Rattus norvegicus: one gene and its partners. The protein of the gene in region 1 interacts with the protein of each later gene in a pairwise test. Links are inferred from orthologs where the notes say so. Each region holds a gene or a part of one and is shown in the gene's direction. Other genes may lie near its edges. The genes, in order: Copg1, Copz1 and Copz2.

Region 1 (4,204 bases):
GCAAACATGACTTTTGATTAATAGGGTGTGCTTCCAAGAAGAAGCACGCAGACATGGGAACCACATTTTTATTCTAACTCAGGTGGTGACATTGTCTTTTAGTTTTAAAAGAATCCCAGTGGGGTTGGGGATTTAGCTCAGTGGTAGAGCACTTGCCTAGCAAGCGCAAGGCGCAAGGCGCAAGGCCCTGGGTTCGGTCCCCAGCTCCGAAAAAAAGAAAAAAGAAAAAAGGGAAAAAAAAAAAAAACCCAGCAAAGGAATTTAAAGGGGAAAAGGTCAGTCACATTAATCTGAGAGTAGCATGGCCTTTTTACAAAGTTAACAAAATTTTTACTGGGTGTGGGTATTTAAAATTTTGTATTAAAAGTCTTACAAGGCGGAGGAAGATAAACAATATTTGGATTCCTTGTCAAAACACAAGTTTTACAGTATTTAGTAGAAAAGACTCATTTCATAATTTTCACAATTGAACCAGGTCCTCAGGTTTGGCAGCAAGCACCTTTATTTACCAGCTGAGCCACCTCATTGGCTCTATTTTTTGAGGTGGAAGTCATGTAGCTTTGGTTGGTGCCGGAAGATGGCCTTGAACTCATCCTTTCTCTGCCTCATGAGTGCGGAAATTACAATGTCCAGTTATATCTCAATTTTTTTTTTTCCGGAGCTGGGGACCGAACCCAGGGCCTTGCGCTTGCTAGGCAAGCGCTCTACCACTGAGCTAAATCCCCAACCCCGTATATCTCAATTTTTAAAGCACAAGTGTACATAACTCTAATATTCATTGGCTTACAAAACTAGACTTTGATGGAATCGGTTCCTTGGCTAGCAACGGGTGCCCTTTTCCCCCTTCGCGCCCCGTCTCCCGCCTACGACGACCCCCCTGGCACAATCCTTGGGGACAGTGAACTTGTCCGAGAGCAGCTTCCCAATAAATTTGCCTTTAAAATATTCTAACCTGGCTTGTTGGCTCATTTCACCGGCGGCGTAAAAATAACCTATCAGTGAGACTTCCGGAAAATGACAATAAAGAGTAACAGAGAACGTTTATGGGGTCAGCGTGCTGCAACTCTCCCAATCAGAACGCCCTTTAAATTCAGCCGGCAGCAACTGCAAAGACATCAGCCACCGGAACACACGGGGGCGCAGAGGCGGAGCACCCGCAACAGCAGGTCTAAGGCCCCGCCCCATTGCTCAGCCACGCCCATTTTCCTGAGTCTCATTCCTAGCCTTCCGCTCTCCTCCACTCAGCTAGATTTTGACTGTCTCCGGGCAGGCAATGAAGGTGTAACGTGGAAGCAGTTGTGCGCAGGCGCAGACGATAGAGTGCGCAGGCGCAGTCCAAAGAGCAGTGCTCAGGGCGACGTGGCGGGCGGGAGTACGGAAGCCGCTGGGAGAAATTGATCTCACCGCTACCCTGAGCATCTTTCTATTGCGTGGAGCTACCGCTGGCACCATGTTGAAGAAATTCGACAAGAAGGACGAGGAGTCTGGTGAGGGACCCTTGAAAGTGTTGGGAAGGCCAGATCCACGCGGGGATTCACGCGACCTTTCTAGGCTTCCTTCTTCCGGGCCTCTGTCAGAACAAGATTCGAGGCCAGAGAGGGGCAGGGGCTTGTGCGCAGGTCCATAGCAATTCTTGGAGAAGACGTGCTGTTTGCACTCTCCAGTTCTGGTCAGAATTGATGCGTGACCTTGTGCGGGTCACGCACCTCTCTGGACCTCAGTTTCCCCATCTTGTCAGAGGAGGTTCCAAGGATGGGTGCTCCCTTGTATTCCACCCGACCTCTTGGTATTTGCCAAAGCTGCGTTGGTTCTTTGCCTATCTGGGTGCAACCAGTCCAGCAGTTAATAACCCTGACTGTTTCTTTCACTCATTCAATAAACTACATCAGGAACCTCACTGATCCTGATATTGCAGTACCTAAGGCAAGTGCGACACTAGATGCCTGCAATAGGAATGTTAGGATGGTCACATAATGGAGGAGCCAGACAGTAACCAGATAATCACATGCATAATTACTTAATGTAATATCTGCTGTCATCTCAGTCACAGGTCAGTTAGTGTTGGTTGTCCCTGGCACATAGACTCACTTAAGTTCTGGTTGTACGAGTCAATGCTAAATGTTATACCTTGAGAGTCACAGAAAGAATGCTAGGTGACTGTGAGAGGACCTTGACTGCCTCTGGAAGATGATATAGACTTCCTTCCCGTCCCCGTGTTTGGCAGAATCTTGAAATTTAGGGTCCCAGTTTGGGGCTGTAACAGTTGGTAGAGTGCTTGCCTAGCATGCATGAAGCCTTGTGTTTGATCCACAGCACTGCGTAAACCAGGAAGTAGAGGTAGGAAGATCGTCCTCTGCTAAAATTTGAGTTCAAGGCTAGCATGGAATACGTGAGACGCTGTCTCAAAAAAAAAAAAAAAAAAAAAAAAAAAGAAAAGAAAAAGAAGGAAAGAAATCTATCCAAGATCACAACCTGTAATCAGTCTTCTCTGTTCACTGTAGGTGGAGGTTCCAACCCCCTCCAGCACCTGGAGAAGAGTGCAGTACTCCAAGAGGCAAGTTCCATCATACCTGTGTCTGGTCAGGGATGCCTGCCAGCCCTGCTGTCAGACACTAACATACATAGAGTGCTGGTTTACAGAGCCTGGGCCCAGGAAGGTGGGACCTACTAATTATATTGCTAAGTGTGACTAGTACGAGGGCAGCACAAGCAGAGACTTGGGGTATTACCTAGTCATAACGTAGATCAGTTAAGAGAAATAGGCTCTCCCCACTTGAGAATACATTTGTGTGGACTGACACACCCCGTGGTTCTCTAGGCCCTTCATGAACTGAGGGGCAGCTGTGGAATGGAAGTGTACTAGGCTAGAGGTAATGGTTGCTTCTTCACAGGCTCGGGTCTTTAACGAAACTCCTATCAACCCCCGGAAATGTGCCCACATCCTCACCAAGATCCTTTACCTCATAAACCAGGTAACAAGATGGGGCTTGGCAGGGAGTACAAGGGGGACTGTGTAAGTGGGGATGTACCCTTAAGCTTTCGATTGACAGCTCTGTGATTGGAACCAACAGTCTAGCCCTGGGTCCTCTTAAGTTTCCAGCTCTCATTTGTTGCTTGTGCTCCAAAGGTCTAGCCTGCTGACCTCCTGTCCAAACCTGCGTCTTTTCTGATTACCACAGGGGGAGCACCTGGGGACCACAGAAGCAACTGAGGCTTTCTTTGCCATGACCAAGCTCTTTCAGTCCAATGATGTAAGTACGTCAATCTGCATGTCTGCAGATGTGACGCCTGTGACAGGGTAGCTGGCAGGAGGACAACTGCCTTCCACACAGTCAGGCTCCTCTTGAGTCAGGTCCTCTCCCACTGAGCAGGACTGATAGGGTCTTCTCCATGTCTTTTCCAGCCCACACTCCGCCGAATGTGCTACTTGACCATCAAGGAGATGTCCTGCATCGCTGAGGATGTCATCATTGTGACGAGCAGGCATGTCTTGGGCAGGGGTGGCTCCTCTGGTGGGACCCATTGACAGAGACAACTCGTACAGCCAAGGGACTCCTGACATCTGGCCTGTGCCCTGTCCTCCTAGGCCCACCCCCTGCCAGCCTCTAGAGTGGTCTGCTTCTTTCTCACTTCTCTGGCCTTGCTTCTCTTCCTCCTCCTTAGACGGCACAACCAGTGTGGAGCTTTCAGAGAGTCTTTAGTCAGTGCTAAGGAAAAGAAAAACAGATGCAAGAAATCCTTCAGAACTGGGAGTCAAAACTGGACATGGTGCTATACACTTGTACTTACAGCGTTTGGTAAAAACAGGAGGATAGCTGCCAGTTTGAACCTGCTTGGGCTACATAAGAAGATGTCACCAAGAAATAAAATAAAACAACACCCCCCCCCCCACACACACACACCTAGTTCTTTTATTTCTTATTGACATTGCTAGCCAAGGAGAGGGTCCATACAGCCAGTTTCAGGTACATTGATACTTACTGGGGCTGGAGAGATGGCTCAGTGGTTAGAGCACCAGTTGCTTTCCTAGAACCCACATCAGGAGGCTTAAGAGCATCTGTTACTCCAGCTACAAAGGACTCTGATGTGTCAGAGGGCACCATACTCAGGTATACATACTCACATGCAGACAGATACTTACATTGCTAAAAATAATAAAAATAAATTTAAAAATTTTTTGGAAAGATGATACTGAATGGTCTTA
Region 2 (3,614 bases), on another chromosome or scaffold:
GTTTGTTTGTTTTGTTTTTTAATTTATTTCTTTTCTGGGTGTATATGTGTGAACTTGTTAGAGAGGCCAGAGAATAACTAGCAGGAGCTCTCTCTCTCTCTCTCTCTCTCTCTCTCTCTCTCTCTCTCTCTCTCTGCCATGTGGGTTCTGGCTCTGAGGCTTGGCAGCAATCTATCTCTCTGTCTCTTTCTGTCTCTCTCTGTCTCCCCCCTCTCTCCCGCCCCCTTCCCATTCCCTGCCTCTGTAGTCCATGCTTCTCTGTCTCAGTATTCCCCTGTTACCTCATGCCTTGAAGGGGTCATACAAGATCCCAGAGTAGAACACTCACTAATCATTGTGGGCTCACAGCTATGGTGACCCAACCATGTCTCCTTCCCTCCCACTAGTACTATGACGACACCTACCCCAGTGTCAAGGAGCAAAAAGCCTTTGAGAAGAACATTTTCAACAAGACCCATCGGACGGATAGTAGGTCATTCTGCACCATTCTCTGTGTTTCGGGGAACCACAGGAAGGGGGTGTCAGCAGGACTAGAAAAAAAGATAAAATGACTCGGCCTCCTCTTTTTTTTTCCTCCTCCCCTCATATAATAAACTCTTCAGAAATGTAATGGGGAGGTGAGTGTACCTCACACGGGAATACCATGGTAGAAGCTTGGCTGTTAGCTACCTGTCTAGTCCCTGGATTTATGAGCCTCACTTGACAAATTTAACTGCAGCTCTGCTTATTGTACCGCATCCATTAGGGCAGGTAAATGGAAGCCTGTAAAGGTGACCGCTCTGCGTTTTTACCTCCGAAGGATCGGCTGCTACCCTGCCTCATACGCAGGGAGGGAAGTAGGTGCAGTGGGGGAGGGAGAACCAGAGAACAGAGACTCCCCTGAGTTTCTGAGTCCCTTCTGCCTACCCCTCGAAACAATAAATAGCTTCAGTGCTTGGAGGTCATTACAGTTGGCCTTTCCTTGGCCCAGGCAGCTGGCCCCGGGATTTCATGGGAACTCCTGTTCTGCCACCTCTTCTCCCACCATTCAGTTTCTGCTTTCTTCCCCCAGGTGAAATCGCCCTGTTGGAAGGGCTGACAGTGGTCTATAAAAGCAGCATTGATCTCTATTTCTATGTGATCGGCAGCTCCTATGAAAACGAGGTGAGACTCACTGTGCGTGTGCTACCTCTGACGCCACTCCAGTGGGACACAGCCACTGGCTTGGGGCTTGCAGAGCTACATTCCTCTGCTCTCTGGCAAGGTCATAAAGAGGTCTGTCAGAAATCCCTGTCAGCCTTACAGAAGAAATGGCCCAGCCAAAGAATCAGTCCAGAAAGGAAGTTTCCTGGGTCTTTTTTTTTTTTTTTTTTTTTTTTTCTTTTTTTAGTAAGGGGCAGTATCTTACTGTATAACACAGGCTGTTTTCAAATCACATCTCTTTCCCAGGTGCTAGAATTACAGACAGGAACCACCATCTCCAATTAGAATATACATCTATACAGTATTAATGTTCTTTCCTACACAGTGGCATTTTAGGTTTTGTTTGCTTCTTTGTTTCTGTTTTATTTTTGAGACAGTGTTACACTGTAGCCCAGACTGGTCTCAAACTCAATGCAATCCTCCAGTCTTAGCCTCTTCAGTGCTGAGATTGTAGGTGTGAGCCACTGTGCCAAGTTCCCATGGCATTTTTTTGTTTGTGTGTGTGTGTGCGCGAGGAGGGAGTTTGAGACAGGGAGTCTATGTGTAGCCCCGGCTGTCCTGGAACTCACTCTGTAGACCAGGCTGGCCTTGAACGTCTCAGGGATCTACCTGCCTCTGCCTCCTGGATACTGGGTCAAAGGTGTGTGCCACCACTACCTTGCTAACCCATGGTGCTTTGTTTGTTTGTTTGTTTGTTTGTTTTTTAACTTTTTAAATTTTATTTTATGTGCATTGGTGTTTTTGTGTGAAGGTATTGGGTCCCCAGGAACAGGGGGTCAGTAGTAGTAGTAGACAGTTATCAACTACCATGTGGGTGCTGGGAATTGAACCCAGGTCCCCTGGAAGAGCAGCCAATGCTCTTAACCTCCAAACCACTTCTCTAGCCCTCTACCCACAGTCACAGTGTTTTTTAAAGGTAGATTTCTGAGGTGTAATCAAGGGTGTGCGTGTGTAAGTGTGAATTTCATGAACCATACAGTAGGAAAGGGTCACTTGATGAGCTCTCACGGTATAAGTGGGTCTGTGAGTGTATCCCTAACCTTCTTGTATGTAGGAAACAACTTCTGGGAGAGTAGAAGGCACGTAAGCCACCAGATAATTTCCCATCACAGCTAAGACTTTTGAGAGACCAGGTCCTGCTGAGCCCTTACTGCTATGTGTGTGCTCTGTGAAGTGTATTGTTTAAGCTTGGCAGCATTTCTGTGGGTGGGAAGCATTACTGTCTTTGTTTTGCCAACGAGGAAACCAAACCACAAAGAACCATATAAAATTACTTTTATTTGGCTTTTGTCAAACTATAAAAGCAGCTGTATGTGTGACTCAGCTCACTAATTCCCTGGAGGTTACCTATGTAGAACAAGCTGAGGTTCAGACCGAGTTCTGACTTGAGAGCCCAAGCTGGGGCTGGACGTGTAGTTCAGTAGTGAAGTGTGCCCATCGCAAATTTCAAGTCTCAGATTTGATCCTTGGTACTGTTTCCTTGTTTTGTTTGTTTGTTTGTTTGTTTTCTTCTAGACAGGGTTTCTCTGTGTAGCCTTGGCTGTCAAGAAACTTGCTTTGTAGACCAGGCTGGCCTTGAACTCAAAGAGATCCACTGCCTCTGCTTTCCGAATTCGGAGATAAAAAGCATGCATGATGAGGCCAATCTCTGGGAATCCAGGATACAGACCTGGCCAGTGTCCATCAGTGTGGCCAGGATTTGATAAAGCTTGATTCAAATTTGGCTTAAAAACAAAACAAAAAAAAAAAAGAAAAAGCATGCATGACCACACCTTACTCTTGAGTACAGTTTTTTTTTTTCTTTCCACCACCTTCCTCTGATCTCAGCTCTTAATAATTTCTCTCTTTACTGATCCATCAGGTAGCTTGGTAAAGGCATAGGGGCAGGGACTGGAGAGATAGTTCAGCTATTAAGAGTGCTGGCTGCTGGAGAGATGGCTTAGCAGTTAAGAGCACTGACTGCTCTTCCAGAGGTCCTGAGTTCAATTCCCAGCAACCACATGGTGGCTTACAACCATCTGTAATGGGATTTGATGCCTCTTCTGCTCTTCTGGTGTGGATATAGATAAAATAAAAATAAATCTTTTTTTTTTTTTTTTTTTTAAGAGCACCGACTGCTCTTTCAGAGGACCTGGGTTTGATTCCCAGCACCCACATAGGAGCTCACAACCATCACTCAATCTCAGGGAATCTAGTGCCTTCTTCTGTCATCTTTGGGTACTACTCATATGTGGTATACAGACATAGTTTTAGACAGATAGTGTATACATTAAAATAATTATTAAAAAGACACTGAGGTAGAGAGGCACGGCAGTGCACACACACCTATTATCCAGTACTTGGGAAGTACAAGGCAGGAAAATCAGGAATTTAGGCTTAACCTCAGTTATATAGGTGGTTCAAGACCGACTGGGGCTATGTGACAGATTACC
Region 3 (4,120 bases), on another chromosome or scaffold:
CCATCAATACGTAGTAAGCAAGTAAATAAATAAATAAATGGATAAATAAAAGGATCAGTATGTGTAATTTTTAAAAGCAACAACAAAAAAAAAGATGGGCCGAAGAGACAGCTCAGTGGTTAAGAGCACCAACTGCTCTTCCAGAGGTCCTGAGTTCAATTCCCAGCAACCTCATGGCGGCTCACAACCATCTGTAACTCCAAGATTTGACACCCTCACACTTAGACATGCATGCAGGTGACACGCCGACACACATGAAACTAAAAAAAGAAAAAGGTGAAAGTCGGAAAGAGAAAGGCTCGGTGTCTTTAAGTGGAAAGAAGTCTGGTGTGACTGCAATGCTGTATACTGAGGCTCTCAAGGTCAGAATGGGGAAACCTGCCCTGTCCCAAGCCTGGGAACCCTCCCACTCAACTGCCTAGCCCAATCAGCAGCTTGAACAGGTCACATGAAGTCTGACTCTGCTCAATGGATATGTCCAAAAACACCTCCTTCCTAGACATGGTGGCTTTGACAAAAGCCATACAGTGAGAGCTCTTGTGTATGACATATCTGTCAGTGTTCTGAATGCCTGGCTGCCCAAGCACCGGTAACTACCTCACTCTATGTGTTGTACTCTGGCGGGGTAGTCGCAGGCTCAGGCTGGATTTCAAGTGTGCTGTATCCTACTGGCCTCATCCACCTCTTGGCCTTGGAAAATGTCTGGGGGAGGTGAGAGTCCTACCGTAGCTCACAACCATCAGATGTCCTCCTCTAGTGTGTCTGAAGACAGTGACAGTGTCCTCACATACATAAAATAAATACAATTTTAAAAAAGAGAGAGAAATCTCAAAAAATTAAAAAAAAAAAAGAGTTCTTTAAAAAAAAAAAAAGTGATGAGCTATTTGTCCCAATGACACCTACTAGGGGGTCCTGAGGAAAAAGTGAACCTTACCTGAGATTCGGGCTGACCCAGGACAGCCACGTGGAGACCTCTGGGCACCAAAGCTACAGGCCCCCAACCTAGGCCAGAAGAGGCAGTAAGTGGGAAGAGTGGGGAGCTTCTGGTTCACCTGAGAGACTGGGAGGTGCAGAGAGAGGCCAGAGGGAAGAATCCAAGTGGGGAGATGAGGTTCTGCGGTGTGGGGGGTCTGGCGGAAAGCTCGTTCAGAGAGAGGGGACGCACACAGAGACCAGCCACGCAGGACTGGGTGGAGGGGCAGCGTCGCGGGGGGCGGGCACGGGGCGGGGCGGCGCTGTCAGTGCAGGCAGCGAGCGGAATGCAGCGGCCGGAGGCCTGGCCACGTCCGCACCCGGGGGAGGGGGCCTCGGCCGCTCAAGCCGGGGGCGCAGCGCCGCCCACCCGAGCCACGGAGCAGAGGGTACGGAGCACGGAGTGTGGGGTCCCGGGGCGGCAGGATGGTGGTTGGGGACAGCCGATTTGCCTCGGGCTCCTGAGCTGGGAACTTTGTGCCACTATTGCCCAGCCCCGGAGAGGCAGCCTGGGCCCCGGGAAGGGAGAAAAAGTTCGTCCTGGAGCGCACGGGCGAGGAGGCCTGAGTGGAGTGTCGAGGGACTGAAGTTCTGGGGAACTCGCTGCAGTGATAGGAACTGACTTGGGTGGCGGGGAAGGGAGCGAGATTCTGGCGGGACGAGGGAGGAGTGGGAGTGGCGAGGTGGTCTGGTTGGGCTCCTTTACTCCAGGGTGATGGCCGCGCGCATCTGGAAGTGGGGGTCAGCTGGACACAAGGAGGCTCGGCGCCGCTGTTCCCCGGGCCCAGGTTCTGTGATACACTCCGACTCGGGCTCTGGAGCAGTCAGTGCATGACAGAACTTGGGCCCGGTAGGACTTTCTGCACCCAGCGGACTCAGCGCCCACTCCTCGGACCTGCAGTGGAACATCTGTCTGGGAGCGGGAGTGGGCACCGGAAATGGTCCATGTGGCACAGGGGTTGGGCTGGAACCAGCCGTGGATTGGGGGATAGCTGGCTCTACGGAGCCCAAGACACGGTGTCTACTTTGAGTCAGGGGTTCCTTTCTCGTGTCAGTTTCAGGAACCTTCTCTCTACACCATCAAGGCTGTCTTCATCCTAGATAATGATGGACGAAGGCTGCTGGCCAAGGTAACCCCTCCCCACAGGAACCCTGAAGACAGTGCCATTTGTCCAAGACAAGCAGTCCCCTCCCAGCCCTTTTTTTTTTTTTCCTTTTCTTTTTTTTCGGAGCTGGGGACCAAACCCAGGGCCTTGTGCTTGCTAGGCAAGCGCTCTACCACTGAGCTAAATCCCTAACCCCTCTCCCAGCCCATTTAACTCCTCCTATAGGAGAAACTCTGCGTTCTGGATAGCAGAGCAGCCCAGCCTAGATTCTCTAGAAATCACTTTGTCTGCCCTGTGCCTTATCAGTCTAACAGTGAGGGGCTGGGTGGGGTGAGTGGAGATCTCCTGTTTCTTACTCATGTTCCCTGACATGTCTTCTCCTTGTCCTTGCTCTGGCCAGCTGCATCCTGGGCCTGGGAAGCTTCACCAAAGGGGTTCAGTGGATAGTTGAGCCTGAAACCTAGGAATCTGAGTCCCTAAACTGTAGACAAAGTGACCTGTGTGCCTTTGTACTTCAACTAGGTAAACAATAAGGACTTAGCATAATGATGTAGTATGGGATTGGGGAGACCATCTAGTCGCGCCCTCTAACTTCAGGGATGTAGAAAATGAAGTCTAGGGTGCTAAGTAGGTTGCCTGAGGTCACAGGGTTAGTCCCACAAGTGACTCTTGGATTCAGGGTTTAGATTTGAGGCTCCAGATAGTTTTCCTCGGACTTCCATTCAGTTATCCAGTATCCATCCTGCACGGCTTGGGTGAGATAAGCTAAAACCATTTGAAGCTAAGTTTCAGGGTAGAACAGATGGCTCAGTGGGAAAGGCTGCCACGTTTGACAATTTGAGTTGGTTCCTGAATTCACGTAGTTGAAGGAGGGAACAGATTCCTCAGGTTGTCCTTTGACCTCCATCCTTGCCCCCCTACAAACCCGCACACATAAATAAATGTTAAAAAGGGAAAAGACTGTAGAAAGAAAAAAAATGCCCTAAATTTCTGCCACTTTGAAGGCCAGGCAATGGTGCTTGCTTTTAATCCCAGCATTCAGGAGAAAGGGGCAGGTGAATCTCTGTGAATTTGAGGCCAGCCTGGGATACATAATAAGACCTGTTTCAAAAGCAAACACAAAAATTCAATAATAAATAAATAAATAAAGTTACTGCCACAATATAATTATCTGTAACAGAAATTTAGCAACACTTTTGTTTTTTTAATTATTTTTTTCTCTTTTGTTTTTTCGGAGCTGGGGACCGAACCCAGGGCCTTGCAGTTGCTAGGCAAGCGCTCTACCACTGAGCTAAATCCCCAACTATTTTTTTTTTTTTGGTTCTTTTTTTTGAAGCTGGGGACCAAACCCAGGGCCTTGCGCTTCCTAGGTAAGCGCTCTACCACTGAGCTAAATCCCCAGCCCCTATTTTTTATGTATATAAGTACACTGTCACTGTCTTCAGACACACCAGAGAGGGCATCGAATCCCATTACAGATGGTTGTGAGCCACCATGAGGTTGCTGGGATTTGAACTTAGGACCTCTGGAAGAACAGTCAGTGCTCTTAACCGCTGGGCTAACTCTTCAGCCCCCAAATACTTTTGTTTTGTTTTGTTTTGTTTTGTTGTGGACCAGTTGGCCACAAACTAACAAACTTGTCCCTTGAGTGCTGAGATCACTGGCAAGCCCCTACTTTTGTTTTACGCACGTGCGTGCGTGCGTGCGTGCGTGCGTGCGTGCGTGTGTGTGTGTGTGTGTGTGTGTGTGTGTCTGTGTGTGTATAGCCTGCCTCTGCCTTGCAAGTGCTGGGGTTGAAAGATGCCACCACAACCAGCCCCTGATTAATTTTGTTTGCTTGTTTTTTGTTTGTTTGGTTGGTTTTTGTTTTGTTTTGTTTTTAATCAGGGGCTTACTTTATAAGCAAAGTTGGCCTGGAACTTACTATGTAGCCCAGATTAGCCTGGAAATCACAGTGATCCTACCTCAGCCTCCCAAGTGCTGAGATTACATGTGTGAGTCATACTTTTTTTCTTTTAAACAGTGTCTCATATTGTCAAGGT

What was found.
Region 2: the proteins of Copg1 (region 1) and Copz1 interact in a two-hybrid assay, tested with the Homo sapiens proteins (2 studies listed by BioGRID). The link is inferred for Rattus norvegicus from reciprocal best matches to the Homo sapiens genes COPG1 and COPZ1.
Region 3: the proteins of Copg1 (region 1) and Copz2 interact in a two-hybrid assay, tested with the Homo sapiens proteins (2 studies listed by BioGRID). The link is inferred for Rattus norvegicus from reciprocal best matches to the Homo sapiens genes COPG1 and COPZ2.

The regions. Positions count from the first base shown.
Region 1 is NC_086022.1:121,922,618-121,926,821, forward strand, and holds the start of Copg1 (coatomer subunit gamma-1), read left to right. Parts: upstream 1-1,344; 5' UTR 1,345-1,450; coding exon 1,451-1,487; intron 1,488-2,501; coding exon 2,502-2,554; intron 2,555-2,891; coding exon 2,892-2,972; intron 2,973-3,179; coding exon 3,180-3,251; intron 3,252-3,403; coding exon 3,404-3,483; intron 3,484-4,204. UniProt on the Homo sapiens protein: The coatomer is a cytosolic protein complex that binds to dilysine motifs and reversibly associates with Golgi non-clathrin-coated vesicles, which further mediate biosynthetic protein transport from the ER, via the Golgi up to the trans Golgi network.
Region 2 is NC_086025.1:136,305,178-136,308,791, forward strand, and holds part of Copz1 (coatomer subunit zeta-1), read left to right. Parts: intron 1-386; coding exon 387-468; intron 469-1,051; coding exon 1,052-1,143; intron 1,144-3,614. UniProt on the Homo sapiens protein: The coatomer is a cytosolic protein complex that binds to dilysine motifs and reversibly associates with Golgi non-clathrin-coated vesicles, which further mediate biosynthetic protein transport from the ER, via the Golgi up to the trans Golgi network.
Region 3 is NC_086028.1:82,327,639-82,331,758, forward strand, and holds the start of Copz2 (coatomer subunit zeta-2), read left to right. Parts: upstream 1-1,249; 5' UTR 1,250-1,259; coding exon 1,260-1,361; intron 1,362-1,744; exon of another isoform or gene 1,745-1,829; intron 1,830-2,027; coding exon 2,028-2,102; intron 2,103-4,120. UniProt on the Homo sapiens protein: The coatomer is a cytosolic protein complex that binds to dilysine motifs and reversibly associates with Golgi non-clathrin-coated vesicles, which further mediate biosynthetic protein transport from the ER, via the Golgi up to the trans Golgi network.